Linked DNA regions of Callithrix jacchus. The main gene of each other region encodes a partner of the protein of the gene in region 7 in a complex. Links are inferred from orthologs where the notes say so. Each region holds a gene or a part of one and is shown on either strand. Other genes may lie near its edges.

The links.
Region 1: CUL3 (region 7) and KBTBD8 share a complex: the UniProt entries of both Homo sapiens proteins name them as parts of the BCR(KBTBD8) E3 ubiquitin ligase complex. The link is inferred for Callithrix jacchus from reciprocal best matches to the Homo sapiens genes CUL3 and KBTBD8.
Region 2: CUL3 (region 7) and KLHL21 share a complex: the UniProt entries of both Homo sapiens proteins name them as parts of the BCR(KLHL21) E3 ubiquitin ligase complex. The link is inferred for Callithrix jacchus from reciprocal best matches to the Homo sapiens genes CUL3 and KLHL21.
Region 3: CUL3 (region 7) and KLHL25 share a complex: the UniProt entries of both Homo sapiens proteins name them as parts of the BCR(KLHL25) E3 ubiquitin ligase complex. The link is inferred for Callithrix jacchus from reciprocal best matches to the Homo sapiens genes CUL3 and KLHL25.
Region 4: CUL3 (region 7) and KLHL42 share a complex: the UniProt entries of both Homo sapiens proteins name them as parts of the BCR(KLHL42) E3 ubiquitin ligase complex. The link is inferred for Callithrix jacchus from reciprocal best matches to the Homo sapiens genes CUL3 and KLHL42.
Region 5: CUL3 (region 7) and KBTBD2 share a complex: the UniProt entries of both Homo sapiens proteins name them as parts of the BCR(KBTBD2) E3 ubiquitin ligase complex. The link is inferred for Callithrix jacchus from reciprocal best matches to the Homo sapiens genes CUL3 and KBTBD2.
Region 6: the proteins of CUL3 (region 7) and KCTD5 are in contact, whole or in part, in a cryo-EM structure (PDB 8U83), measured with the Homo sapiens proteins. The link is inferred for Callithrix jacchus from reciprocal best matches to the Homo sapiens genes CUL3 and KCTD5. Residues at the interface, in NP_003581.1 of Homo sapiens: Thr24, Met25, Asp26, Glu27, Lys28, Tyr29, Val30, Asn31, Ser32, Ile33, Trp34, Asp35, Leu36, Leu37, Asn39, Ala40, Glu43, Asn48, Ser50, Leu52, Ser53, Glu55, Glu56, Leu57, Arg59, Asn60, Ala61, Tyr62, Thr63, Met64; in NP_061865.1 of Homo sapiens: Trp45, Phe55, Leu56, Thr58, Thr61, Arg64, Asp65, Lys67, Ser68, Pro96, Thr97, Tyr98, Phe99, Gly100, Pro101, Leu103, Asn104, Tyr105, Leu106, Arg107, His108, Gly109, Lys110, Leu111, Val112, Ile113, Asn114, Lys115, Leu117, Val122.

What each region holds. Positions count from the first base shown.
Region 1 is NC_133516.1:48,792,268-48,796,575, reverse strand, and holds the start of KBTBD8 (kelch repeat and BTB domain-containing protein 8), read right to left. Parts: upstream 2,808-4,308; 5' UTR 2,728-2,807; coding exon 2,712-2,727; intron 2,513-2,711; exon of another isoform or gene 2,399-2,512; intron 2,097-2,398; coding exon 1,886-2,096; intron 1,434-1,885; exon of another isoform or gene 428-1,433; intron 1-427. UniProt on the Homo sapiens protein: Substrate-specific adapter of a BCR (BTB-CUL3-RBX1) E3 ubiquitin ligase complex that acts as a regulator of neural crest specification.
Region 2 is NC_133508.1:44,496,635-44,500,635, forward strand, and holds the start of KLHL21 (kelch-like protein 21), read right to left. Parts: upstream 2,810-4,001; 5' UTR 2,758-2,809; coding exon 1,737-2,757; intron 1-1,736. UniProt on the Homo sapiens protein: Substrate-specific adapter of a BCR (BTB-CUL3-RBX1) E3 ubiquitin-protein ligase complex required for efficient chromosome alignment and cytokinesis.
Region 3 is NC_133507.1:29,916,425-29,920,522, reverse strand, and holds the start of KLHL25 (kelch-like protein 25), read left to right. Parts: upstream 1-1,285; 5' UTR 1,286-1,438; intron 1,439-4,098. UniProt on the Homo sapiens protein: Substrate-specific adapter of a BCR (BTB-CUL3-RBX1) E3 ubiquitin ligase complex involved in various processes, such as translation homeostasis and lipid synthesis.
Region 4 is NC_133510.1:43,423,089-43,426,616, forward strand, and holds part of KLHL42 (kelch-like protein 42), read right to left. Parts: intron 2,147-3,528; coding exon 1,695-2,146; 3' UTR 1-1,694. UniProt on the Homo sapiens protein: Substrate-specific adapter of a BCR (BTB-CUL3-RBX1) E3 ubiquitin-protein ligase complex required for mitotic progression and cytokinesis. The BCR(KLHL42) E3 ubiquitin ligase complex mediates the ubiquitination and subsequent degradation of KATNA1.
Region 5 is NC_133512.1:1,770,107-1,774,203, reverse strand, and holds the start of KBTBD2 (kelch repeat and BTB domain-containing protein 2), read left to right. Parts: upstream 1-1,283; 5' UTR 1,284-1,284; coding exon of another isoform or gene 1,285-1,352; 5' UTR 1,353-1,618; coding exon 1,619-1,788; intron 1,789-4,097. Other genes in the region: uncharacterized protein LOC144578307, read left to right, coding at 1,285-1,352. UniProt on the Homo sapiens protein: Substrate-specific adapter of a BCR (BTB-CUL3-RBX1) E3 ubiquitin ligase complex that acts as a regulator of the insulin signaling pathway, modulating insulin sensitivity by limiting PIK3R1/p85alpha abundance in adipocytes.
Region 6 is NC_133513.1:4,170,736-4,174,263, reverse strand, and holds part of KCTD5 (BTB/POZ domain-containing protein KCTD5), read left to right. Parts: intron 1-112; coding exon 113-208; intron 209-2,555; coding exon 2,556-2,681; intron 2,682-3,528. UniProt on the Homo sapiens protein: Its interaction with CUL3 suggests that it may act as a substrate adapter in some E3 ligase complex. Does not affect the function of Kv channel Kv2.1/KCNB1, Kv1.2/KCNA2, Kv4.2/KCND2 and Kv3.4/KCNC4.
Region 7 is NC_133507.1:146,311,865-146,315,913, forward strand, and holds the start of CUL3 (cullin-3), read right to left. Parts: upstream 2,814-4,049; 5' UTR 2,498-2,813; coding exon 2,432-2,497; intron 1-2,431. UniProt on the Homo sapiens protein: Core component of multiple cullin-RING-based BCR (BTB-CUL3-RBX1) E3 ubiquitin-protein ligase complexes which mediate the ubiquitination and subsequent proteasomal degradation of target proteins.

The DNA.
Region 1 (4,308 bases), on a different chromosome or scaffold from region 7:
ATGATATAATCTGGGTTATTAAACTTCAGTAAGATATAGACATTTTCACTTTGCAGTTTTTCTTAACCATTCAAATGTAACATATAGTAAAAATGTTTTACAGGAAACTTTAAAAAGGACCCACTGTACCCACTCTTGTTTCTTAAGAGTCACATGTTGACTAAGAAGCCTGGCTCTGGAATCAAATGTAGCCTCGGCCATTTGCTTGTTGGATAGATGATTTAGGCGTGTTATTAAAACTTAATCTCACTGAGCCTCAGCTTCTTCCTAAGTCAAATGGAACAACAACTGTGCAGAAATAGGATTATAAAGATTATATAAGGCAATACATGTAAAGTAAGCTTGATAAGTAGTAATTGTAACGTATATTTAAACATACAAATGACCTAACCATATCTAATAGATAATCTGTGTAAGTGAATCTCACCAGAAGTTTCCATTACCAGGCCAAACTTCATACCTTCTGCATACGTGGGTTTTATTTTTTTTTTTTCCGTATTGCAATGATTAATACTTAGTAGTCCAATGACCTAGCCTAGGCAAGTCTAAATGGTTACATCACAAGCATCAAACTGAAATGACTATATTTAACCCAGTATTCTGAGAAAGAGGAACCAGAAACTACTGTTGGAACATTATACGGCTATGTTCCCTATATAGGTAAGCACTTTCAAAAGGAAAAATCACATTCAGAGTGCGGTTGAACACTTTACTATTATTTATGCACCACTTGTGAATACGGAAAAGCTTCAAGTGAGCAGGTAGCACAAAAGAAGTTAAACACACACAGTAAACTGCCTTTCCCACTAATTTTAAAGTAGGAAGTTATTTTTCAGCCCCCAGTTTTTAAATTTTATTTTTAAAAGTTTAAACAATAAAAGTAAAAATAAAAACAGTTTAGCATACGTCTAGAAATATTGAAAATTGTTAATTTGGGGACTTAGGCACGTAGAGACTATATTTTACTCATTTTTTATTCCACTGCTTTGACCCCCAAAGCATTAAAACAATCTATCAAATGGTAATTTGTTTTTAAAGGAACACACTACTATGTTTTAAACCCTTTTATAAAAGAGTCCCATGTACTAAAGAAACATGCGTTATGGATAACTTGTTGAAAATAATTCTAGATCAGCACTGTCCAGTATAACTGCCAGTGATGAAAATGTTGTATCTCTGTGCTGTTTAATATGGCGGCCACTAGCTGCGGGTGACCACCAAGCACCGAAAACATGTTTAGTGGCCCCACACGGTGGCTCACGCCTTAATCCCAGCGCATTGGGAGGTTGCGGCGGGCGAATCACGAGGTCAAGAGATGGAGATCATCCTGGCCAGCACAGTGAAACCCCGTCTCTATTAAAAATACAAAAAATTAGCTGGGCGTGGTGGTGCCTGCCTATAGCTCCAGCAACTCGGAGCCCTGAGAAAGAATTGCTTGAAACCGGAAAACGGAAGTAGTGAACCGGGATTGCGCCACTGCACTCCAGCCTGGCGATAGAGCGAGACTCTGTCGCAAAAAAAAAAAAAAAAAAAAAAAAAAGTGTTTAGTGTACTTGGGGACCCGAGGAACTACATGTTTCATTTTATTTAACTTATAATTTAAGTTTAAACAGCCACGCATGGCTACTGGCTGCCATACTGACCAGCACAAGTCTAGATTACCTCAAACACACACACCGACCCAGTAACTTAAAATTCAACGCTAGAAGAATCCCTCAAGTCAAAATAAGGTCTTAAAAAGAGAGGACCCGTTTTCTAGTCTCAAGAAACAAAGCCATTGGTTTCATTTCATTATTGCATCTCAGTATAAACATCAAGTGGACAATACTGAGGGGGGAAGGGAGCTTGGTGCAGATACCGACACAAGTTCCTACCATCATCATACCTGAAGTAAGGGCTGATTGCAGCAAGAACGTTTCTATGACAGGAAAATGTTTTCCCGTGATCCACTTCCACTACAATGTCTGTCAACTGTCCTTCATCGTACATTGTTTTGAGTTGCTTAAGAATACTGCAAGCATGGAAGGGGTCCATGGCATCGCTGGCTGGGTCTGTAGATGGAATCCCATTCGGTGTTGGGGAAGATTTACTTAAATCTAGGAGGAGAAAAATCGTACAACCACAAGAAGTGCCGAGCCAGTTACGGCGTCGCGGGATTTTTTTTTGTTTGTGTGTTTGCTTGCTTGGCTTTTTCCCCGCTACAAAGATATATATATACATATATGTCTGTGGATATACGCACGACCTCGTGGGACCGCGAGTTTAGGATCTAGGAGACAGAGGGCGGAGCGCCATCGGCGGAACAAGTTCAAAGGCCAGCCTGCTCCTGCGGAGCCCGGCGAGCCCGGCGCCCGTGCTCGCGGAGGGAACGCGCTCGCAGCCCATGTGAGGCGTCTGCGAGAACTCCGCCGAGAGCCGAGGGCAGAGCCTCACGAAGGAAGCTCAACCGACGGCGACCGCCGGTGCCCCCTCAAGCCGCCTCCCGCTGCCTCCCGGGTCGCAGCGACGGCGGGTACCCAGCCTCCCCATCCCTGTCCCGCCGGACCGCCCACCGCCCTCCGCACCATTCATCCTCCCCTCATTCCCCTCTACCTCCTCATCCTTCCCTCCGGCTCCACACCGCTACCTCTTCATCCCACCGCCTATGGCCGGCCCCGGCCAACCTTCCCCCTCAACTCCCTCCACGCCGCCCTGGCCACCACACAACCCACCTGCCGACGCGGCCATTTCTCGATGGGGCCCCGGCTCCAGCTATTTAAAGAGGAAATGTCATTTCGCTTCTCCAGCTCCCGGGTTCCGGCTCTTCTAAGCTTCCCCTAGCCAATGGGGTGTACTGTGCATTTGGCTCCGCCCCTAGCCTACGAATTTCTGGCACTGATTGGTCTCGACGCGAGCATATGCGTGACGGGTAATGTAGTTTGATTGCCCCCGCTCCCGCGTGGTCAGACTTGGGCGGAGGCCCAACCCGGGAATTCCTATTGGCAGATACGGGCGGAGGTGGAGAGCAGGGAGCTAGCCAGCCTGTGGCCGTCGAGCGCGCAGTGCCTGCCGGGAGAGGTAGTCTTCTGGCGGAGGAGAACTGTCATTCTGAGGGGCTGGGGTAGGGAAAGCTCTTCAAGTGCGAATGTCCCCATTTTAGGCCTCTCTCCTGGCCCCCGGCTCATTTTTTTACCTTTTTCTTCTTCCGTAAACTTCCTGCCACTGACTGGCTTCCGGTATGCAATCAAGCTCTGCGTGAGAGCTGTAAAACCTGAAAAATTTGGAAATGTACAGGAGGGCTGTTGTCCAAAAATGCAAAGGAAATATGACGCCCCACCCTGAAGAAAAATATCGGAAGGCCCAAAAGCAAGGCGTCTCTGATGAGTCACCTGTGACACCCAATTGAAATAGCATCGCCTTGGCCCGGTACTCTGGTTTCCACAGATTAACTTGGTCTGGTTAGAGCGGTTGTTTAGGATATTTAACTCCCACTCGTGCCTTGCTTTTCTAGCGCACCCAGAGAACACCTGTTCCGCACGTGAACATTATAGAGGGATCCCAGATGCTTTCCTTTTTGCTCTTGGAAAATGGAGGGATGCAATACTAAGTATTCTGGGAATTCCTTTGAAAAAAATACCGGAGAGCCCTGAGCCCGGGGCCAGGGATGATTACTGAAGCCCTGGCTCTTTAGTCACTATATGTGAGAACTGACATAAGACCTTTCAATCCTTAACCACTTAGATCCTTCACCTGTAACGTGAAGTGATAGTAATACGTATTCTATGGACTTCATAGGCTGCAACCCTTTGGAAAGAAAATCAAAATTTTGATTTACTCATCTTGTGTTTCTAACATCTGATGGGGTGCCTGGCACATTATAGATGCTTAATATTTTAAAGATTAAGGTGCAAATGAGCTAACATTGGTAATGTTACTTCTAGACTGTTAAAATGTAAGGAAGTATCAGTGAATGGCAAGAATGTCTAGTAGGCATATAGTTAGCCCGTGTGCATAAATCTTCTAGCACTGAAAAGATTAAACAGTTGAACTTCTTGATAAAGGATCTTGGAATTTAAATTGTTATTGAGAAAGAGAAAGAATTTTGAAAAACAATTCAGTTCTGTCCCCTAGGTCTGCTGAGAAATTTAGAACTCAAAATACTATAACCCCATGCAAATTAACAAGAAGTGGTATTTCCTCATGACAGGGGTTTATGCATTCCCATATGCGCTTATAATTTCCTCTTTGTGAATGTCCTGTCTGCACATTTCTGGATGGATGAAATTGACTTAATTTTTGTTACTCATAACTTTACTTTTTCATTTTTAT
Region 2 (4,001 bases), on a different chromosome or scaffold from region 7:
TTTTTTTTTTTTTTTGATACAGTCTTACTGCCACCCAGGCTGGAAGGCAGTGGCATGATCTCAGATCACTGCAACGTCCACCTCCTGGGCTCAAGCAATCCTCCCACCTCAGCCTCCTGAGTAGGTGGCACACGCTGCCACACTGGGCTAATTTATGTATTTTTTGTTGAGACAGGGTTTTGCCATGTTGCCCAGGCCGGTCCTAAACTCCTGAGCTCAAGGGATCCACCCACCTTGATCTGCCAAAGTGCTGGGATTACAGATGTGATTACTGCACCCGGCCCTGTATTTTTAGTTTCAATAAAAAGTGCTACTAGCTGTAATCATAAATCATACCAGGTCTAGAAGGGCTATTAGAAACCCCAGGACAGGAAGGGACCCCAAGAATCCTGGGGCTGCACGCCTTGGCCTCCCAGACTGGCACCACCAGGACAGAGCAGACAGGACATTCTGTCTCACAGCCCTGAGCTCTAAAGGAAGAGCAAGTTCTTGTTCTTAGGAAGTGCACTCTGCCGGCCTCCTCCCTTCCATGGAGCTGTGTGAAAGGCAGCTGAATGGAATTACCCAGCCACCTGCCTAAACCCAAGGGATTAACTGCTCTGCTGAGACATTTATGGAAGGGTGTGCAGAAAGCTGGGGCGAGTCTGAGTAGTTCTGGGAAGCAATCCTCTCCTCAAAGACATTCGTCAGACTTTGGGGAGAGGGGAGGGACACCGTCTCCAATCAACTTGGGGACAACCTCAGATTGGAAAGAGGAATCTACTGGCAGATTCCAGCAGAGGCTGGACTCAGAGCTGCAGGGCAAGGAAGCTGTGGCCAGAGCCCAGCAACTGTCACACTTGACAGCTCAGAGTCCCACTGGAACTCAGAGCACGTCCCAGAGTGGGCTCTCTGGCGAACATGTAAGGCTGGGCACAGCAACTGTGACATCCCAGTCCCCACCTCCTTGCCTGATAACTGCCTCACATGCCTGCCTGGTGGGTTCTTTCCTTATATAGCAGTTACAGAGCCCGCCCTTCCTCACCCCGGGGAAGGAGGTAGCCTCCTGTTTAAACTGGGATTTATCTTCAACAAAAACTGCAGGAGAAGCCCAAACCCAGGCGGCCTGGGACCCGCCTACCATGACTCGGCAGTGTTTTCGGGCTTGGGCCAAGTAACTGGAAGAAAACCTCTAACATGTGACCATGTTTACAGTCTCTGGGGAGGGCAGCCTAAACACCATGTGACCACAGCACAGCGCCTAGGTGCAAGCCCAAGGGAACCGTGTCACCGGTGACAAAGAGTGAGTCAGGGGGCCCGGGTGGCTCAGCAGGGAGGGCGACATTCCCCCGCTGGGGGAGAACAGATGCCTCACCACCGGGCGTCAGACTCCTGCCCTTCCCTAGATTCCCTAAGGAGAAAAAGAAAGCAGCCATTGTGCGGAGTGAATGCCCCAGTATCTTCCAACCAAGTGGGGAGGCACCTTCGGGGCACGGAGTTGGCTCAGCCTGGCACCCCGGCCTCACGGGTCACAGACTCACAAGCAATTACTTGTCCCGGCTCATACAAGCGGCGATACTTTTCAAGGGTGATACTTGAAAAGTACCGGCCAGTGCTTTGTAGTCACCCGGGCCCCAGCTTGGACTCAGGTGCGGCCCTAGGATTCCAGGGTCTGTACATTTCTTCTGCGGGTAGCTGGGCTACCGCACGGGCGAGGCTCCACCCCAAAGAGCCTGCCCAGCCCCCGGCCCACTCACCCGTCACGTATATGTCATTGCCCAGCGCCACGATGCTGTAGCCCCCGCCCAGGTGGTCTGGGAACTCGGCTAGGTAGCGCCACTGGCCCGTCTGCGGGTTGTAGCAGTCGACAGTGACCAGCTCGTCGCAGTCCTGGTCGCAGCCGCCCACGAGCACGAGGATCTCGGCGAGGCCAGTGGAGGGGCGAGGACGCATTCGGGGGCAGGGCCCGCGGTCGTGGCGGTCATAGCGCGCTGCCTGGAAGTCGCGCGCCTCGCGCAGCAGGCTCAGGCAGGGCGGGCAGCGCGCCACCAGCGGCTCAGCCTCGACGTGCGCCAGCAGGTAGAAGCGTCGCACGAAGGGCAGGCGCACGGCCTCCAGCAGCTGCGGCCAGTGCACGGCGCGGCGCGGCGGGTCAGCGCGGACCCAGCGCAGCGCCAGCTGGTAGGCTGCCTCCTCCTTGGGCACGCACAGCCCGTCGTCCCGCAGGTAGCGCAGCAGGCGCGCCAGTGGCAGCCGCTCCAGCTGCTCGGCGCCCAGCTCGCCCACGTGGCGCAGGATGAAGCGCTGCGCCGCGCTCGCCAACCCCGCGCAACTGAAGGCCTCGGCGAAGTCCTGCATATCCAGGCAGTTAGCCAGGTCCAGCTGCTGCTGCAGGAAGGCGCCACAAGCTTCCTTCACGGCCGGGAATTGCAGCAGGTCGGCGGCGCGCAGCAGCGGCTCGGCATTGTCGCCGCTCACCGCCACGCGGCCCGTGTAGCTGAAGTCCAGCAGCAGCTGCAGCATGTCGGGCGGTACTCCGTGCAGGCGCACCCGCTCGGCGCGGCTCTCGCGCAGCTGCCCGGCGAACATGGCGCGGAAGTAGGGGCTGGCTGCGGCCAGCACCGCGCGGTGCGCCGGGAAGTCGCGCCCGCCTGCTGCCTCCAGGGTCACGTCCAGGAACTTGCGCTCGGCGCGGAGCTGGCTCAGGCCGCGCAGCAGGCTGAGGGCGTGCGCGGGGTCAGAGAAGGGCAGCACGGCCAGGGGCGCCGGCCGCTCCATGGCACTTACACTCGGAACTCGGGGACACCGCGGCCGGGGCCTGCGGAGACACGCTGCGAGCCCGGCACCGCTGCTATAAATAGGGCGGGGCGCCGCGGCCCTTAGGGAAGCAGGATGGGCGTGGAGAGGCGGGGCGTCGCCGACACCGCCCCCTTAACCCCTCCGTGCCCGGCGCCACCGCCCCGAGCGCGGGCTCGCCTGCCCCCCACGCGGCGCCCGCCCCCGGCTCCGCCGGGTGAATCGCCGCGGTCCCTCCCTCCGCCCTTCCGGGTCTCCCCACGGACTCCCGTGCCGGGGACGGCGAGTGACAAGTGCCAGCTCCGTGGGCGGCCCAGCCGCGCGCCGGGACCAGGGGCCTCCCGGGGTTGCCCACGACCCACCCGGCCACTGAACCCAACCCGGAGGAGGCGAGCTCGGCCCTGAAACCGAAGCCACCCCTCCTTTCGCGCCAGACTTCCCAAGGGCGCCGGCCCAGGTCCCGGGGCGGCTGGATACAATGGCTTTTTGTTTTGCTTTTTGAGTTCCACTAGTTTCAAGGGTTGCTAGTTAACCCTGTCACGGGATACACAGGATAGGCATTTTACCATTCTGAACCAAAGCAAGAACGCGTATCAAGTTTTTCAGTGACGTTTTTTCTTGGCGCATTTAAAAGCTATCCGGGGCCGGATTCCAGGAGTCGTTCCCACCCCTGTGTTCGTGCAGGAGCTTCTAACCCAGCAACACTGGCGTTCACTTTAGTTGGCTTCAGGCGTAGTTACAGTTTTGCTGCAGGCTCCTGGGCTGCTCCTGCCAGGGGCTCCCGGGCCTCCCTGCAACAGCTGCTCAGACTCCATGAGAGAGGCCCTGGGGGATCAGAGAGCGAGGGCTCAAAGTCAGATGGGAGACCGCCTTGAAACTAGGAGATGACGCCACTCAGCACAGTCCGGTTCGCTTGTATTGAGACGGGGGAATGGTGAAAAGAAGAAATTACCCTTATTTTAGTTCCAATAGATACAGCACCACTTTGAACGTCACTGTAGGGAAAAAAGAGCCCTCCCGGCCGGGCGCGGTGGCTCACGCCTGTAATCCCAGCACTTTGGGAGGCCGAGGTGGGTGGATTACCTGAGGTCAGGAGTTCAAGACCAGCTTGGCCATCGTGGTGAAACCCCATCTAAAAAAAAAAAAAAAAAAAAAAAAAAAAAGGAGCCCTTCCTTGGTTCTTCAGAGGAAGGTAGGTTTTGGTGAGTTTTAAGAGACCCCCCACT
Region 3 (4,098 bases), about 120 Mb from region 7:
TAAACCTTCCTTTGCTCTTCCCACCTCCATCAGGGTGACCTCTGCTTCTCGGCATTTCCTGGCCCCAGACTTGCCTCTTATGTTCTTATGTTCTTATCACTTTCTATGCTTTACCTTTTGTATCCTTTTTTTTTTCTTTCTTTTGAGATGGAGTCTGGCGCTGTCGCCCAGGCAGAGTGCAGTGGTGTGATTTTGCCTCACTGCAACCTCCACCTCCCGGGTTCAAGTGAATCTCCTGCCTCAGCCTCCCAAGTAGCTGGGATTACAGGCGCCTGCCACCAAACCCAGCTAATTTTTTTTTTTTTGTATTTTTAGTAGAGACGGGGTTTCACTGTGTTAGCCAGGCTGGTCTTGAACTCCTGACCTCGTGATCCACCCGCCTGGGCCTTGCACAGTGTTGGGATTACAAGCCTGAGCCACCACGCGCCCGGCATCTTTTGTATCCTTAAGCGACCTACTTGAATTTCATCAGGAGGGAGAAAAGAACGGGCATTTATTGAGTACTCATTTTGTCTGGGAGTTTGTCTCCTTTAATCCCCCAAATAATCCGATGAGGAGTTTTTTTTTTTTTTCTGCCACTTTACAGACGAGATTGGACACATACAGCAAGTTGAAGTAGCAGTCAGGAGGGAAAAGGAGGAATCACACACAGTTCTTCCCCTCCTAGACGAGAGCATCCTCTGGGCGTCCAGGAAACGTTCCTGGAAGAAATTATTGGATGGATAGATGAATGAATGAACATTTAAAGGCTGGCTTACAAAAGAAGTTTAGTGAGAAATGACACAGAGAGGAGGTCTGAAATACCCCGAAAAATACAGATTTCAAGTACAGGTGGGATTTAGGGACTGCAGAAAGTCCCAAACATTCAACAAGCCCGGAGTGAAAGAAAGGGTTTCATTAACACTCTGGCACTACAAGTATGGCTCCGCGGAGTCTAAAGACACCTAAGCACTTGTGACCCGAATACAAAAGTAAGAGGCACATGCCATCTACAACGCTCCCTCCGGAAAGCTCTAGGACGCCGTCGCGCTTCGTTCCCAAACTCGGGCCGCGGGGGCGGGAAGGCGCCTGTCTCTTTAAGAATCTGGTTAAAGTCTTTTTCCTTTCCCCACCCCGCCCCGGCCTCCCTCCGGCGCGGTGCCGGCGCGGCCTGGACGCCCACCCCTTTGTTCTCTGCGGCTGCACTGACGGGTTCAACCGCCCATCCGTCACAGAGGCGTTGCCTCTGATTGGCTGCTGCGCTTCAGGCCGGGAGGCGGGGCGGGAAGGCCGGAGAAACTAGTTTGTTGGCTGCGCCTCGGCGGTACCGCAGCGGGAGCGTTTGGGTTGTGGCGAGCTGGTCGACGCGAGCGGCGGCGGGGCCTGCAGAGCTCGCGCGGGGGGCCGGGGGTGGTCTCTGAGGTGGCGGCGGCAGCGGCGGCGGGGAGTGACTGCGGCGGTGAGTACCCGGGCCGGGCGGGGACGCCGTGCTTTGGCCGCTGCACCCGCGCGCCCGCTCCCTGCGCTGGGGACTCGCCGCCTCGGGCCGGGCCGGGACCGAGCGCTCCGAGCCCCCGCGGTGCTGCGTGTCCCGGGAGGAGCGAGCGCGGTTGGGGCGGGGGCCCTGGGACAGGCGTGGGGGCGGCGGCCGGCCGGCACCCCGCGGCCCCGCGAGGGAATTCGCCGAGAGCCCTGCGCCGGGGAATGAATTGTTTGGCAAATGGATGTTGCTCGCGGAAGCCGCTACTCTTTCCCCGGGGAGTGGTTGATTCATTGAGTCCGCAGACTCTCTTTTTAAAAAATTACTATTGATCCTGGAAAGAAACACTGCTTGTCTTTGAGGATGCGGGCGGCAAAGCCCCGCGCCCCGGACGCCCAGGCCTTGCCTGCCCTTCGCAGAGCGAGGGCCTGGGGTTCCCAAGGGAAGGGTCTGCGCGGGCCTGGCCCCGGAGCCCCGGGCCGTTCACTTTCCGCCTGCCGGGGTCCCTTGTTTCGGTTTGCAGAACTGTCCAGCGGCAGAGAAAGGTCGCACTCCCGAAGGCACACCCACCTGTCCACCTGGGTGGAGGCCAGCCTGGCAGGTCCAGAGCAAGCCCTCCATCCTGACTCTTCTTCCCACGCTCGCCCTGGCTCCGATACACCACCGCGCGGTGTTACGCCCCCACTCCCCCCACCCCACCTCGACTCCTTCATAGTTGCTTTAGAAGCTTTTCTTTTGCGGATGGTGTCCTGGAGACACCAGATACTTTTTTTGTGTTCCTGCTCTAAAGCCCCCGAAGTCTATTCCCATTGTCTTTGAACAAAGAAAAATCTCTCCAGAGGCCTGACCCAACGGACTGTGGGTGAGGGGGCGGACCCAGGCCCCTGCAGGTTTAATCTGGACGCTCTTGGTTCCTGCTGGATCCTGGTGGTTTTGACCTTGGGGAAGGCAGGCTGGGCTTTGACTCCCCGGTAATCAGGGCAGAGAATGCCAGGTGTCTGGACCATTTGGTTTCACTCTGTCGGTGCAATAGAGGGAGGGAGGGAAGGAAGTTAGTGACACAAGAAGAGGAGGCAGGATCCCACGGTCTGTATTCTGGAGCAGATTCCAGTGACTGTGATGAGGCCAAGCCCTTTGGACCCTGGGCCCCACTCTTCCCATTCATACGGAGAACTGATGCTCAGTATGCCGATCTGAGCTGTGAGCTTTCCTGGGGTGTTGGTGAAGGCTTGCTTTGGTGTCTAGGGAAGAGTAGGACACAAAGTGACACCACCTCAGGGTCCACTTGGTGTCCTAAGACCGGGGGCCCTTGGGTCCACAAGCTGTGCCTGTGAAGGTTGGTGGAGTCAGTCTTTTTCAGGTCCGGTAGCTATTTCGGTTTTGAGTCATTTGTCAGGCAGTGACTCCAGGGAGGTTGATAAAAGCGAGGTAGAAATGGAAGACACCTTCATCCTAGGTCTCGGGCTGCAGTTGGATTTATGTGTGTGGTGTGGAAAGAAGAGCTGCGGGCAAGTTGTATGCTCCACATCGAAGGCAGGTTCTGCAGCCGGATGCCCTTTAATGGCATTTTAAATCTGTGGGTACCCCGTGTGGGCAGAAGAGAGCAGGAAGAAAAGAACAATTACCCAGTGAAAGCAAGCTTGGTTCTTCCCATCTATCACTTGGGTAGGGGCAGGGGGTAAGGGTAGGATGAGTGAGAGTGTTATTTAGTGGGTGGTTAGTTACTGATTCATTTATTCATTAATTGTTTGAGCAGACTTGATTGGGCACTTGCTGTGTGCCAGGCCCTGGGTTAGGTGCTGGAGACTCTACTTTTAGTGAGCACCTAGATGAGGGGGTGCTGGCACATGGATTGGGGCCCTGACACATCTTAGTGATAGAGGTAGCAATAGCAGCGGAGAAGACACAGGTGGGCAAGGCTTCCTGGAGAGAAGATGCTTTGACTAAGAAGCGAAAGGCGAGCCACAGCCCAGATTCCAGATTCCTTTCTCCTGTTGCTCACCCATGCTTCTCCCAGAGGCATTGACGACCTCAATTGGCAACCTCAAGATAGGCACAGGTTGAAGTCTTGGAAAATGCAAGTGGAAGGTGGTGGAAGGTTTGCTCTGTCTATAGTGCTGGCCGCACGGTCAGCAGTCCAGGGCATTTGCAGGAAACTTGATGGCTTATGGATGCATCGTGTCTTCTCGGGGGTTCCTGGGAGAATCTACCCTTCTAGTCCCAAAGACCAGCCCATTGTCTGAGCCCATAGTCACTTTGTACCAGCAAGCAGTGTAGGCATAGCCTGGCCATTGTGGGCAGAGCTGGCACAAGAAAACAGAGTGGCCAGACACAAATGAATTGGCTGATTGAGATGCTGGTTTTCATCTAATGTGGTGAATTTCATAATTTAATTGCCTCAGTCAGCCAAGGCTGTTGAAAGGCATTTTCCCCACCAGGAAACACTTAGTTGGAACAAGCTAGGGGAAGAGGGGGGAGGTGTAGGGGAGGAGGGAGGAGGGAGAACTTAAGCATCCACAGCTTTCAGTAACAGCATCCCAGCAGGAGTTATCAATCAGTATCCATCCCCAGGTGATGGAAGTCAGCCCCTTCCCTACAGCAGGTTCCAACCCCTTTCCTGGATTGCCTCATTGCCATAC
Region 4 (3,528 bases), on a different chromosome or scaffold from region 7:
TATAAGTAGACTAGAGATAAGATTATTTGGTGACAAGATACAAAGATCTGTTTCTATGTCCAAAATAATGGCTTACCTCATTTAACTTAATAGAAGTATTCCCAAAAAGTTGTGCAAAGAGGCTTTTTATAAGTGGACCCTTATTTTAAGTATACTAGAGGCCATGGTTGTAAAGAAACCCTGTAGTGACTCCTAGAATAAACTGAAAAACTCTAAGTAATTAGCCCCGTCCTACATCTGCATAGTGGACGGCATATTGCAGGCACTCAATAAGTGTTTGCGGAATGCATGAATTTGCTGACAGTGATTTTCCCCCAACAGGATTTTCTTAAAGTGAGGCACACACTAACTGAAATGGTTCTGCCTGCTGTTATTGCAGAATGATGGAATCCAGCTCACAGTTGAACTGATTGGATTACAAAATATCAGATAATTTTAGAGCGTTTTTCACTCAAAATAAAAGTTCTGTAAGTATGAGTATATATATTTTTGAAGAATGCTGATCTGATTGGCAGAAACTTTTATTGTTAACTCCCTCAGTGAAAACAACTGCTTGAGCTGCATTCTATTTCAATTCACAACCAAGGCAAGTAAAGCACTTTACCTAACTTCAAAAATACTACCAGAAGCCATTCCACTTCTGTAAGGGCTTCTTCCTTACTCCAGCACCTATGTTTAAATGCTGTCCTTACCTTAGTCCACAAAAGCAAAACATTAATTACAAAGCTAAGATTAAATTAGTTGCCTGACTTAAATATGGTAAACTTTTTTTAAGTCTTGAAATAAGAACTAAGTCAAATACATTCAATAAAAGTAACTCTCAAAGGCAAATTTATGTCTTATTTGGTGTTTTCTTCCCTTCCCATTTAAATTTAAGACTCAATTTTTTAAAATATTCATATATTCATTTTTCTAAATAATATATCCTCTTTAAAATACAGAACACCTAGCAATGCAACCTATGTGGCCACATAAATATGTAATCTGCCACATAAATAAAATAAGAGGTTGTATCAATCTATTAATCCAGCATTTGTACCTGCAAAGAAGGCTGGAAAAATGGCTGAGAATGTTTTTATGCAAGTTTTGAGGAGGACTGAACACTAGCAAGGATTCATTGTAGGGCTCCATCATTGTAAGTTTCCTAAGAAGTAGAGTGCAAACAAAATATCTGAACACAGAACCCTATTTTAAACATACTAGATGTATGTGTGGGTATGCTTGACGGAGAAGAGGGAATGAATATGTTAATACGAATGCTTGTCAAGTATACTGGCAAGAAAAAGAAAATCTCTCACATAAGGTGCTAATGATATGTAAAGGGACCTAAATACAACAGATTTTAAAAATCATCTTTACCATTTGTTCCAATTATTGACTTTGGCCCTTTACCATGCAGTCACAATGAATCTATATTTTGATGATCCGTCATTGGCCCAAGAGTATCATGTCTGGAGATAGATTTGCTCCCATAATTTAAAAATCAATAATTTTAAAAATAACAAAGTTGGTCTCTTTTTTCCACAAGTTTTCAAGTAATTAGTTCAAGTAAGCTTATTTACAGCTGCTACTGTATATATGTGACCTATTTTAACCCTTCTTTACCCTTTAGGAATCAGTCTCCCTTGCAATGGGACACTACGTTTTTAAAAAAAATCTTGAACCAGTTTCTTTCATCTACGAATTCAATTCAGTCATGTTTCTGCTTTATTGGGCAGATAAAGAGAAGACACCAGCAAGTTATGTCCAAAAGCTGGAAAACGCCGAAATGCTTCCCAACTATCTGAAAAGATGTTGTACTTGAGGAACACTCGGTGTTCCAAGCTGGTCGACAGGGTGACGTCTCTGCTCATGATGTAGATGCCATCGTTATGGAGTGCACAAGTCAAGTTAAGACCCGATTTGGACGTGTTCTCCTTGAGGTAGAGCCACTGCCGGGTGACGGTGTTGTAGGACTGCACGGTGAGCATGTCCTCACTCTGGCTGCTCCTGCGGTTGGGCCCCAGCTCGTGGAGACACCCCCCCACGATATAGATGGTCTCCTCCACAGACACCATCTGCTGCTTGCGAATGTGGACGTCACAAGTTTCAAAGAGGGTCCAGATGTCAGAAGAGGGGCAGTACTGCAAAATGTTCATGTTCCGGTCTGAAAGAAAGAAAGATAAGTGATGACACCGCCCCCACTAACACCATTAGGCGAGGCTGCCCAGAAATGTCTACCTCTACCTGCATAATTTGGTAACAAAGAGAAAAAACTGTTTCGGAAAAAGCACAAGTTGGTAAAACAGTTTTCAAAATGGCTGGGAAGAGATATATTTAGATCCAGCCACACTCGCCTCCTCCTCCCAAATATCTCCTTGGGAGACTCAGACTGGATAAAACCAGGGAAAAGAGCAGCTCTGACTTTCACACAGCCCCTCCTCCCTGGTACCCGCCCCCACACCTTTGAACCACCAGGTCAGGGCAAAAAAACTAAGTGCCTCAGAACTCTCATCAATAGCTACAAAATTACCGACTACTTAATACAGAAGCCAGGCTGATCAGCAACTACATCTGTCCTTGACAGCTGATCCTAAGAAACATGACAAGTAGCAACATAGGCTCTCCAGAGGCTGTCTAGTGAAAAGGACACAACGTTACAAGTCAGGAGGAACGCAGCAGTCTCACCTGCAGCCTTCTACCAAGCCACAGAATCACTTGGCAATTCGGTTTTCCAATTTGTTTTTATTTGTAAAGACTGGGTCTTTACCATGCCCAGCCTTAGTTTCCCAATTATATCACCAGAGAGACAATAACAAAGGTCCTCCCTCTCCCTTTTCCCATTTCCCAAGAGATAGTTGCAGTGTAGAAAACATCAAAGTCTAGATAAAAGGCTTCTCTGGCATTTTTAATTAATAATGATTTTTGGCCAGGCATGGTGTCTCAGGACTTCACCATTTTAGGGGGCTGAAGCAAGAGGACTGCTTGAGCCCAGGAGTTCAAGAGTTCAAGACCAGCCTGAGCAACATGGTGAGACCGCCCCCCCCCCGCCTACAAAAAAAATAAAAAACTAGCCAGGCATGGTGGTATGCACCTATGTTCCCAGCTGCTACTTAGAAGGCTGAGGTGGGAGGATGGCTTTATTTAGCCTGGGCGGGTGAGGCTGCAGTGAGCTGTGATCACATCACTGCATTCCAGCCAGGGTGACAGGGATCCTGGTGTCTCAAAAAAAAAAAAAAAAAAAAGGTGATTTTCTTTAAGGAAAAAAATTGCCTAGTCTCTTTGTGAAAAATGCTTAAGAAATTTAGAATATCTAATTTTGCTTTTCTTGTTTTTAATTGTTCTCTTTTTCTTTTCTCCTCTAGGAAAGAATAAATGAGTATTTTAGCTTCAGCAGAAAACACAAATGCTCTGAGTTATAAACAGAATGTTGCTGTTTTTTCTAAACAATAAATCCTAACCATGAAGGAGACAGCTCAGCTTGGGCACTGGCAGACAACTAAAGCCTACAACATTTTGATGGCTGCAGATGCTGGTAAGAGAAGACAG
Region 5 (4,097 bases), on a different chromosome or scaffold from region 7:
TATAGTTTGGCAGGAAGTAGCTGTGATACCGTCTTTGACATAATGGTATTTTGTGACAAAAAGTATTAGTGATTCTAATGATGGAGTCATTTCTCATTATGGTAACTAAGGGTCATCCTAATAAGAGAGTTGGTGAAAAAAGAAGTGGTAGTTTTTATATTTAGCATATTGGTAGCATTCTATTTGGGATTTTCCTCTTTTCCGGATTTGTAATTCCTTTGCCATATGTTGTAAATACTGAGTTCCAAGTAAATTTTTGCTCAGCTGGAATTTTATTTTTTTGGGTAAATGATAGGCAGCATGACTAAAGCCTGAGTTTTGTTTTTATTCCCCCTTTAGCAGTTGGCCACATCCAACATTATTTGTTTGAAATAAGCCGTTCTTCCTAATTTGAAATGCCATATTTACTTTCATCCTATCTAATTTCTTAGATACGATGAAGATAAATGCCTCGTTCGGTTAATGGGAGTTTTATAATACACTTTATATTTTCATAAAAATCTTGAAAAACTTGCCCCTTTTCTCCTCAAATACCTTGGCAACTTTTGTGCATTCTTCCAGATAAATCCCTTGGAAATAGGATTTAGATTGGATTTGTGCTAAACTTACATATTAATTTGGAGAACATTCATATTTGTGTAATATGGAGTTTTCTGGGTAGGAACACTTTTTTTTTTAAGTAAAATTATATGCTCTTATTCATAAAGATTCCTAGGAAAGAACCACTCTACAAAGAGGTAAATTGCATACACTTCTCTTATAGAATTTAATGGCAAATTTGAAAATATATAGCTTATACTTTGAAAATAAACAATTTGAATGTATTTGCCATATAGTTTAAGTAATTTCAATTAAATATGAAGACTTTGTGAAAATATTTAAAAATATATCCAGAGAATGAGAACCGCTGTGTAAGAGAGCAGGGTTTTTTTTTTTTTCTTACATATTATGATCATTTATTGTTACCAAACAAATAACTAGGAGAGCTGGCTTTGGTAATTTATTTTGAAAGAATACTTATTCACGTGTTTGTTATTTTCTACAACATGTATATTTTGTATAGAAGGCGAAAGTTAACTTGAAATTACAACTGGTAATTTTCTTCTGTTTTTCAGTTTTAAATGTAGTAGACTTAAGAATCTTCATTTTTGTCATGTTTCACTTTTATGATGTCTAAAGTTGAACTTCAAAAAATATGATTTCTATTTAAGGCTGCCATTTTAAAGATTGTATTCTAAAACTGTGCTGGCCTAGATATTACAACTGAACTTTTTTTCTTTTTAGTTACTCTGCAGGATCCACTGAACATAGGATGTTGCCACAAAGTCTACCTCGTGTATTTTTCTCTTTGACTCATGAGCTGTGCAATTGCAGATTGAGCACAATGTCTGCAGACTGTGTTGAAACACTCTGAAGAACCTATGAACACAGGATGACCTAGGAGTGATTCTAAGTCTATAACAAGATACTCCTCACTAGTGAATGTGTCAGTCTTAGTGCTGAATGCTGCAGATAACAGCAAGTAGTTTCTCCTTTATTTCTGAAGTGTTCACTTGACCTTCCATCAGTAAGACGGACTTTTCTAATCTGGCCTGGGAGATATTAATGGAATACAGTCATGTCCACTCAAGACGAGAGGCAGATTAATACTGAATATGCTGTGTCCTTGCTGGAACAGTTGAAACTGTTTTATGAGCAGCAGTTGTTCACTGACATCGTGTTGATCGTTGAGGGCACCGAATTCCCTTGTCATAAGATGGTTCTTGCAACCTGTAGCTCTTATTTCAGGTAAGTACTTTTAATGTTTTAAACAGAAATTCTTTGAAATATTATTTAATTTTTAAAAAAAGCCACATCTCAATGTTGTGCTTAAGTTTTCTATTCAGATGATGTAGTTCTTGCCAAATCTCATTCTTGCATGTGTAAGGGACATATGAAAGAAATTTTATAAAGGTTTAAATACAAGAAATGTGTTGCAATTAACTAAGGTGAAGTTTTAATGTTGGGAAGGCAGAAAGATTTAGAATATTTCTAAACAAAAATAAATGGGATAATTTACACTTTGAGATTCTAAAATGCTACCTTTAGAAAATAGTCATCTCTGTTTTTAAACTGACAAGTTATCATAGGGTCAAATAGTAGTTTTTAGAGGGTAAAAATTGGTGCTGTTAAACCTGCTAATACTTTTCTTTGGAAAATGTATTTTTCTCTTTGTTACTATTACCATTTGAGATAGTTCTTTTTACCAACTAGACTTCTTGCCAGGTTTAAATACTTAGTAACTAGTAACATTGTTGGTGTTCTCTCTTCCTCTGAACATAGTAGAAGTTAATTTAGCTCCTCATTGCTAATAACAAATGTGTAAAGCTTAACTTTACATTTCTATGATCTTTTGCATCTTTGTTGTACCTTTCCTGAGCAGAATAGAAGCCAAGGCATAGAAATTGCTTTATTTGTTCTTTGCTTTTAGGTTATTTTTGACTTAATATTGGAGAGAGGGAGAATAAACTGAATTAAATGTGGACCAGCATATTTCTATTACAAATACGAGCAGCCATAAGTAGCAGTCAGCAGTAAGTTTGGTTATGCTGTTCTTTAATGGCAGCTATAGATAGGACAGATTTCATTTGACCTTTCAAGGCTAACTTACTTGCATGAAGATACAGAAACTTCACATTCCCTACCGCATTCCATGATGATTGCAGAATCTAAGGCCCAAATACCAGTAGCCTTTGCTATGCCTACACAATTTTTTTTTAAGACAGGGTCTTAATCTCTTGCCCAGGCTGGAGTACAGTAGTGCTATCTTGGCTCACTGCAACCTCTGCTTCCCAGGTTCAGGTGATTCTCGTGCCTCAGCCTCCCAAGTACCTGGGATTACAAGCATGTGCCACCATGCCCAGCTAATTTTTTGTGTTTTTAATAGAGATAGGGTTTCACCATGTTGGCCAAGCTGGTCTCAAACTACTATCTCAAGTGACCTGCCTGCCTTGGCCTCCCAAAGTGCTGGGATTGTACGTGTGAGCCACTGTGTCCAGCCCAGTGTCTGCAATTTTTGTTTCAGGTTAAGCTGTGGATTTTTCATGCAATTTCAGGCGCTGATTTTCTTGTCTGTTAGAAAGTGTAGCCTATTTGCAAATAATTGTTCTACAGCCTCGCTGATCATGAGAATCCTCTTGTTGGGTGCTTTTACAATTGGAATATCTTGGATTTCAAACACAGAAATTCTGATTGAGTGGGTCTGGGTTATGGAATCAGAATCTATATATTTAAAAGCTTCCCAGGCTGAGTGTGGAGAGAGAGAGAGAGAGAGAGAGACCCAACTGATCCACCTCAGCCTCTCAAGGAGATATAGGCACACACCACCACTCCTGGTTCAACTCTGGGAAAATCTTTTTTTTGAGATGGAGTTTCACTCTTGCCCAGGCTAGAGTGCAGTGGTGCTTGGCTCCCTGCAACCTCCACCTCCCAGATTCAAGCGATTCTCCTGCCTCAGCCTTCTGAGTAGCTGGGAGTACTGGTATGAGCCACCACGCCCAGCTAATTTTGTATTTTTAGTAGAGACGGGGTTTCACCATGTTGGTCTGGTTGGTCTCAAACTCCAAACCTTAGGTGATCCGCCCGCATCTGCCTCTCAAAGTGCTGGGATTACAGGCATCAGGCACCGCGCTCGGCTGAGTCTGGTCTCTTAATACCCGATAGATACCCCAAGGGACAGCTGTGTATTACCTGTAAAGCAAACCAGATGTTTAGTAAATAGAATAGTTCAATATGTGTTTGAGGTTGAAGCTACCCATCATTAAAATCTTGTGCCTGGGACACTTTCATATCCACAAGAAGAAAACGCCTACGTATTTTTCCTCCCATATGCTGTATATCTTTTTCTCTGGACTGGGTAGGTTATTGTGTATTTCCACAATAATTTGAGCTTTTCCCAAGTGTTCTTCAACTAGATTCTGCTCTCAGAATTGTAGATTTCAAGATCTTTACATGTAATGGTGCTATACATCTTTACTGTCAGAGATTTTTTCTTTTGAACTAAATACATTCTTCCTTTGTAATTTGAGTTACCAATTCTGTCTATCCCACCAAGAATT
Region 6 (3,528 bases), on a different chromosome or scaffold from region 7:
GCGTTGGGCCGCTAGCCCTGCACTGAGAACTGGAGGGTGGACCTCAGCTCCCCGGGTCGCCGGGGCTGGACACAGGCAGCAGCGGGACTTGTGTGGCCCGTTGTTTTTGCAGGTGCCCGTGAAGCATGTGTACCGCGTGCTTCAGTGCCAGGAGGAGGAGCTCACACAGATGGTGTCCACCATGTCAGACGGCTGGAAGTTTGAGCAGGTGAGGCCCCTGCCAGGCTGACGGCAGCCACGCTGCAGCTGGACTTTTACTCACACTGGCTTAGGGCTCAGTGCCCCTGGAAATGTGGGCTTCGCTGCTGGTGTCCTTCTGCAGTTCTGGGGGTGCTCACGACAGTGTCCTGTGTCCTGTTCCCACTGGAAGAGCCATGGGAGTTTGGGCGGGGTGGGCAGAGGTGTCTCAGGCCCTGCCCCACACCCTCCCCTCCTCCCCGGCCTGCCGTTTGCAGCCCTTCTCACTCAGCCTCTTCTTCCCACACTGCACTTTCTGTGTATCACCTGGCACCTCTGTGTGTCGGGGGGATTGGCGTCCCCAGAGCCTCGTGGCCGGCCTACCACCCAACGCAGCCCCGTCCCCTGCAGCTCACTCCAGTGGAACAGATGGATGCTCTGACGCCCTTCTCAAGCTGCCTCCCCTTCCTGTCTTCGCAGGAAGGCACTGCCAGGTCCCTGTTGCCTTCTCACTCTGGTTTGGCTGAGCTACGGCATGTGGGGCTGAGGGATCTGTGCAGGGCTCGCCTTCTCCGGCAGCTTCCATAGGAGCCACTGTGCTGTGGCACTGTGGCCTGTCGTCGTTGGGGACCTCAGGACATGTGAGGATGACCTCTGACTGGGGGCCCATGCCCACGATCTGGGTGCCACTGTTCCTACTGTTGCTGATGCTAGGCAGACAGGGTGGGGACAGTGACAGTGTCCTCTGTCACTTGCTTCTGTCTAGGGCAGGTTCTGTCCATGGCCCCGTGGCCCTCCAAGGCTGTGGGAGGGACAGGCTCAGCTAGTGTCCCTTTCCTTTGAGTCTTTCAAAATAATATAACACATTGTAGGGTACTTGGAGCGCCCCTTAAAATGTCACTAAAGACATTTGCGTCCCACCATCCATGCTGGCCCCCCAGGCTTGGTGACTGGGTGTTTGTGCTGATGGAGCAGCTCGCTGGCCCGGGCTGCCCTGCACTGGGGGCCACATCTTTCTCATGCTCTGACCGCATCAGAATCGTGCCAGAGCCTCACACAGGAACGGAAATCGCTCCTGCCCAGCGAGCCCCACCTCCCAGTTGTCCCTTGGTGGGGCTGGGTACCTGGGAAGCCATGTCATCAGTTCGGGGACCGAGAACACCTGTGCTCTTCTGCCACTACCTTGTGACTTTCCTAGCTGGGAGGGAGCGAGATCTCCTGCCCGTGGTGGTCACCTGCCCCTCCCCGGGGCAGCTCAGATCTTTGTCCTCAGTGCTTCTGGGTGGAGCTGGTGTCCTCCCCCTTCCTTATGACCCACATGACAGACTTCATCCCTCCTGGTTCATGTAGAGAAGCCGCTGGGCTGACCAGCTGCCCTGGCTGTGGGCGGGACCCTGGGGGGTCCTGGGAGGTGGCCAGACCGGACCCAGGGTCTCCAGTGGTCATTGGGACTGCGAGCAAGGCTTGAAAGTGGCCGACGTGCCTGTCAGGATGCAGGGGCTCAGTGGCCGTGGCCGTGAGTGCTCCCAAGTGGGTACTCCTAGCTGCTTGGCCCCATGCCAGCACCTCTGTGGCTGCCTCACTGGGCTGGGTCCACTGTCAGCAGCCACACAGGAACAGCAGGTAGCCCCAGGCCCCCTTCCTGGCCATTGGTCCGACCATGCAGGTCATAGGTAGGGAGGCCAAAGTGTGAGCACCAACCAGCTGCTTTTTGGCTCGGTCATTTGCTGCTGGCCTGCTTACCATGATTTGCATATTGCCTTTTAATTTTCCCTTCAATAGCACAGAAGTGCCCTGTGGCCTGGGGTAGCCACCCATGGGTCAGATGCCTCGCCAGAGAGGGGTCGGCCCTGGGCCTGCATGGCCTGGCCTGCCTGGTGACACAGAGGGAGGCAGGTTAGAGTGGCCTGAGGTGTGCCCAGCCGGCTGCAGCAGACCCACCCTGGCTGAACTCCGGACAGCACAGCTCCTCGGCGGCTTTTGGTCCTGTCAGCCAAGTCCCCTGCTCTTCCCTCCAGGTTTTCAGAGCTGCCCTCCACTCCCCTCCCGCTGCCCCTCTCCCTCCGACCCAGCTCAGGGACCCTTCTGCGTTCCCTCTCCATTGGCAGCGGCCCCTGTTTGCCCGTCTAGAAGTGCCAAGGAAAGCCTGGTGTCCCCGCAGAGGAGGACCTGGCTTGTGCCCCGCCCCGGTGTGGGTGCCGTTGTGTGTGCTCATGCGGGTGTTCCAGGAAGTGGTTTTCCATTGGTTTCCTCAAGTGTCGGCGGTCTTCTCTGTGGCTTTTGCGGTGGCAGGCGCGTCCTGAGCCTGGATGTGTCAGCTGGGCCACGTCCCTCTCAGGCCTCACTGGGCTGCATCTCGGGCTGTGTCTCCCTTGCAGCTGGTCAGCATCGGCTCCTCTTACAACTATGGGAATGAAGACCAAGCGGAGTTCCTCTGCGTGGTGTCCAAGGAGCTGCACAACACCCCGTACGGTACAGCCAGCGAGCCCAGCGAGAAGGCCAAGGTCAGTGCTGGGGCGGCCTGGCGGATGGGGAAGGTTCCTGCCCTCTCTCAGCTTCCTCTGTTCCTGCCGTTTTCATCAAGCCCCTGTCTCCGCCCCTGGTGACCTTGCTGACTTTTCGGAGGCATGGTCTTCCGTGGGACGAGGCCTCTAGACCCAGGCTCCCAGTAAGCCCCTGCGGGAATGCCACTGAGGGCTGTGTCTCAGGGGACCCAGAGTCCTATGTTCCCAGGGCACAGCCTCTGGTGTGTGAGGACTTGGGACATTGTGGCCTGGCTGTCATGGTGGGTGTCTGGGCCCATCCCTGAGTTCAGGGATGTGGGGGTCCGGCTGTTGTGTGGTGGGAGTCTGAGCCATTCCTGAGTGCCAGGTGGGCCCCCTGGCTCAGCCAGTGCCGGCCCTGGGATTCTCAGGCTGCACAGAGTGGGGCCCTGTGTGGCACCCAGCCTGGCAGCACCGGCATAGACTCTGCGGGGGCTCAGGCCCGTCTATTTTCTGAGGGCTGGGCAGCTGGGGTGAAATACAGGGATCCCTGCCTTGTTTACTTTTAGAATGGCCCCATGGCCCTGCCCACGGGTGACCCATTCTGGTGGCATTTTCTCTGGGTATGTTCTAAAGGTTGAGGCTCCAAGATGGACAGATGCATCCATGTGAGCAGATTCCAGCCTTGGCCTGGGCCAGCTCTACCTGGCAGGACTCCCAGACCCCAGAGCCACGTGGTGGCTGGAGAGCCCTTGGTGGCCTGCTCTCTGGGAACTCCTGGGGTCTGCATGGGTCTGGGAGAGCCTGGATGGTGGGGCCAGCTCTGTGGGCAGCCAGCCTGGGGTGTGAGCCCTGGGCTCACCAGTGA
Region 7 (4,049 bases):
TAACTCTTGTTGCCTAGAGTGCAATGGCACCACCTCTGCCTCCTGGGTTCAAGCAATTCTCCTGCCTCAGCCTCCCCAGTAGCTAGGACTATAGGCACCCACCACCATGCCCGGCTAATTTTTTGTATTTTAGTAGAGATGGGATTTCACCGTGTTGGTCAGGATGGTCTCGATCTCCTGACTTCATGATCTGCCTGCTTCGGCCTCCCCAAATGCTGGGATTACAGACGTGAGCCACAGACGCCCGGCCAAACTAGAATTGTTATTTTCAATGGGAACCACTTATGAATGTTATTAATACTTATTAAACAGTAATGAAAAATTTTAGAAATCAACAGCTATTAACTACTGAATATCAAAACTAGTCACTTACATATAACCTGAAAGAGAAGTTATAGACAGAATAGGCCCAAATTAGCTCATAACCATAAACGAAGCTAAAAAAAAAAAAAAAATTCAGTTCCAGTACTACGTGGTAAGCTATCACACAATTTTATTATACTGGTCAGCTAAAGGAATATGAAATTCTCTCCCATCTCTTCTCCTCAACAATACTAGCTCCAGAAGGCAGGGATCTTGGTCTTTTTAGCTATACTGACAAACCCTCACAAGACCGCCTGGCACATAATATTCAGTATTTGTTGAACAAATGAAATGATGGCAAAACAGGTAAGATCAGGGAAACCTGTAGACATCAAAGAGTTTGATTAAACACAGATGGAAGTACAACTGGTCAATCAGAAGGCCATTAACCTGAGTGAGTCGATGTCAAATGTGAGTTACTCCACGTTTTAGAAAAAAATCTTTAGAACTTTCGAATTCAAGAATGAGGAGTGTAGGACCGCAAACACTCCTAGAAAATCTGTTGTACAAAACTATTAACTTCATAAAATTCTAAATTCTAAACTCTACTTTAAAATGGTCAGAATTTAGCAGGAAAATTATTAATATTACTCACAAATTCATAAAGCCAGCTCTTTGCCCAATTATAAAGGAAAACATACTAGTGAACTTCGTTAGTACTCTGTCAACACTGCTGACTTCCTGATGTAATTTCTCACGTTTACTTAGAAAAAAGTTTGAAACATTCAAAAAGCCTTTATTATCAAAAACACTTAATTCTCCCAAATACATCGTACCTATTTACAGAAAGCAGAAGCTTCCTCACACTGACTTTAGTATTAATGTTCTTGCATTTCAGAATTCTACATCAGGTGTATCCTTTTCAATTTTAGGAATTCAGAGGTCCTCAGGTTCTCTGGGACTAAATTACTTGACTCAACTGGGGCAATCATATTTAGATAACAAGTCTTTTCCCCACTACAAGGGCACTTCAGGAAAAGCATGCTTTAAAAAGTGACAATAAATCCCTCTCTTATGCCTGCACATCATATGAAGTATTTGCGAATCTAAGACGGGAAGACCAAGATCTTTCTCTAATTTTACTTTTTAAAATCTTCTGTCCGATTGCTAGTTGGTCTGTCTTGATGTATGCCTTTTATTGTAGCAACATGGGCAAGTATGTCCAGTTTGTTAACAAGAGTACATTTTAATTGCTTGCCATCAGGTATCTGAATCAGATATGACACCCAAAGTTATACCCTATGTCCTAAACACTGAAAGGGTACGACTCAACCTAATGCCAAAAAAGTAAGTTTCTGAGCAGAACGCGTTTGCTGTCACTGAAACCGATGAAAGAAAGCAACTCCACAAGGCGACTAAGCTCATTCTTTGGGCTCCCAAGGCTGAGAAATGGAGAACCAATTGCCCGGTTTGCTCCCTGTGGCTTTCCCCCGGCCTTCCTCGGAGTGGCGAGGCAATCCTGCACAAGAGTTTGTAAAGTGCTTAGGAGGCTTGCGGGATGAAATACACCCCATGTTACTAGTTTATGATCACAGAGCATTCCGTGCAACCACTGTCACTGCGTCGGAGGCAAGTTGAGGGCAGAGCCCTTCCTGGGGAGGGGGACAGAGAGGGCAGCCCTTTCATCACCCTAAAAGCTAGACTGGGTTATTTTGGAAAGTGCAGCGAAACCCCACGTGAAAAGTTGCACACATGCCCCACACAGGGAGGACTCCGCCGCAGCCAGCAAAGCCGGAGACTGGCCCTACACCCCGGCAACGTGGGGAGGCGTGGGGCGGCCGAGGGGCTCCGGCCGCAGCCAACGCCCACGAGGCGGCTGGAGAAGCAGCTCGCAGACGGGGGCGCGGGGCCAGGCCCGGGCTCCCGGCGCGGGGAACGGCCCGGGAGGGCGGCCGCGCCGGGGCCCCGCGCCGCCCGGTTGCTGGGAAGGCTCGCGCCTCGCGGCCGGCGGGCGTGGGGGAGGGGAGGCCGGGCCTGCGGCCTGTTGGGGGAGTTCAGCCCGGGCCTCGCGTGCGGCTCTCGGCTCGGCCCCCGGCCCCGGGGTCCCGGACGCCGGGGAGAGACTCACCGGAAAGGCCCGGATCCGCATCTTGGTGTCCTTCCGGCTGCCCGTGCCTTTGCTCAGATTCGACATGGTGCTCGTCCCCTACCCGGCGGCGGCTTCAGGTCGCGCTCCGCGGCGCCGGTGTCACATTTAAGGCGGGCGGGCAGGCGAGGGGCGACGCTGGGGGCGGTGGCGGAGCGGACCCGGGCAGGGCTAGGGAGCTGGCCGGCCCCTGAGCAGCCGCGGCGGCGGCGGGGACGGCGGCGGCTCGGGCTCCGGCGGCTCCGACGCGGCTGGGGGGCTGCGCTGGCGCGGCTGCTCCACGGGGTCCCCCTCAGGCCCGGCTTCGCTCCCTTTATCGCGCTCCTCCGCGATGGCGGCGGCGGCGGCGACGGACAAACATCTCACTGCGCAGGCCGAACGTCGTCCTCCTCCTCCTCCTTCTCCTCCTCCGCCTGAGCGAGACGAGATCCGGCCCAGAGGGTGGAGGGGGGAGGAGGGAGGGAGGAGAGCCGGAGAGTGAGAGATGCGGGGGGAGGGAGGTGGGAGGACGGGAGGGGGAAGCGGGCGGCCGCGGCGGGGACGCTCAGATCTCGCGAGAAGAGGGCGAGCGCGCTACTCCTTGTGGGGCGGGGCGAAACCCGGGAGCGGGAGGACGCCACCAGAGGGGAGGAGGGGAATGGGGAGTTGGGGGGAGTGGTAGGGGCCGGCGGGGCGGGGTAGCGAAAAGAGGGCGTGGCTAAGAGCGGGAGGTTTAAGCTGCCTTTTGAAAGAGGAGCGCCAGGTCCCCGGTTCTGGGCGGAGGTGGTTGCTGATTGGTGGAACTTCAAGTGGGGTTGGGGGGGAGGGGGGTTCCTGGTCACGTGGGGGGAGTGGGCGGGGGAAGTTTGGAGAGCAGGAGCAGGATTGTAGTGGGCTGGGCCTTACTGGGCTGGGGCAAGATTTAGTCTTGAGGAGGAGCGTGGGGTGCTAGATGGATAACTACGTCCCGAACTGGTTCCTATGTTTTTCTAGGGCATATGGACTAGGGATGGGTACTTGAGCAGAAGCCAGCAACTAGAACGAAGAGTTTGTGCAGGAGTTACCTGCATGATCGGAAATTACTGTCCTGTATGCTCAACAAGGTATTCGGACTGGGTGTCCACACAACAGCTCTCAGGACTGGAGGGTGGAAATTTAATCTACAAAGTTCCCTTAAACTGCAAAAGCTTCGGGACCTCTTGATTCACTGATATTTTCTGGTGGACCCCGGGCTTATTAATGTTAAAACCTGTTTTTCATTACTATCAGAAAAAAATAACAGCTCCATTAATGAAATGCAGCATTTGGTAAATGATGTTAAATGGAATGATAGAAACCTAACTTTAACCAACCAGATGAGTCATTTCTACTATTACCAAGAGTACTGTAGGTTTTTAAAGCCAAAATTACTGTCTGATACAGTTGCTGTATATTTGAAAAGTTTTGGGTTTTGGGGGAGAGGGGTTTGATCATTTTATATTCAAAATGTCTAATCTGACTCATGGTTTTGCTGTCCATTTATTATGAACTGTACTTCCTCATTTACCTACTTGCCCAAGTGCTGTTATGTTTGGGTTTCTGACTCTGCAAGGGAGTATGTGAGTGCCTACTAAAGTTTGTC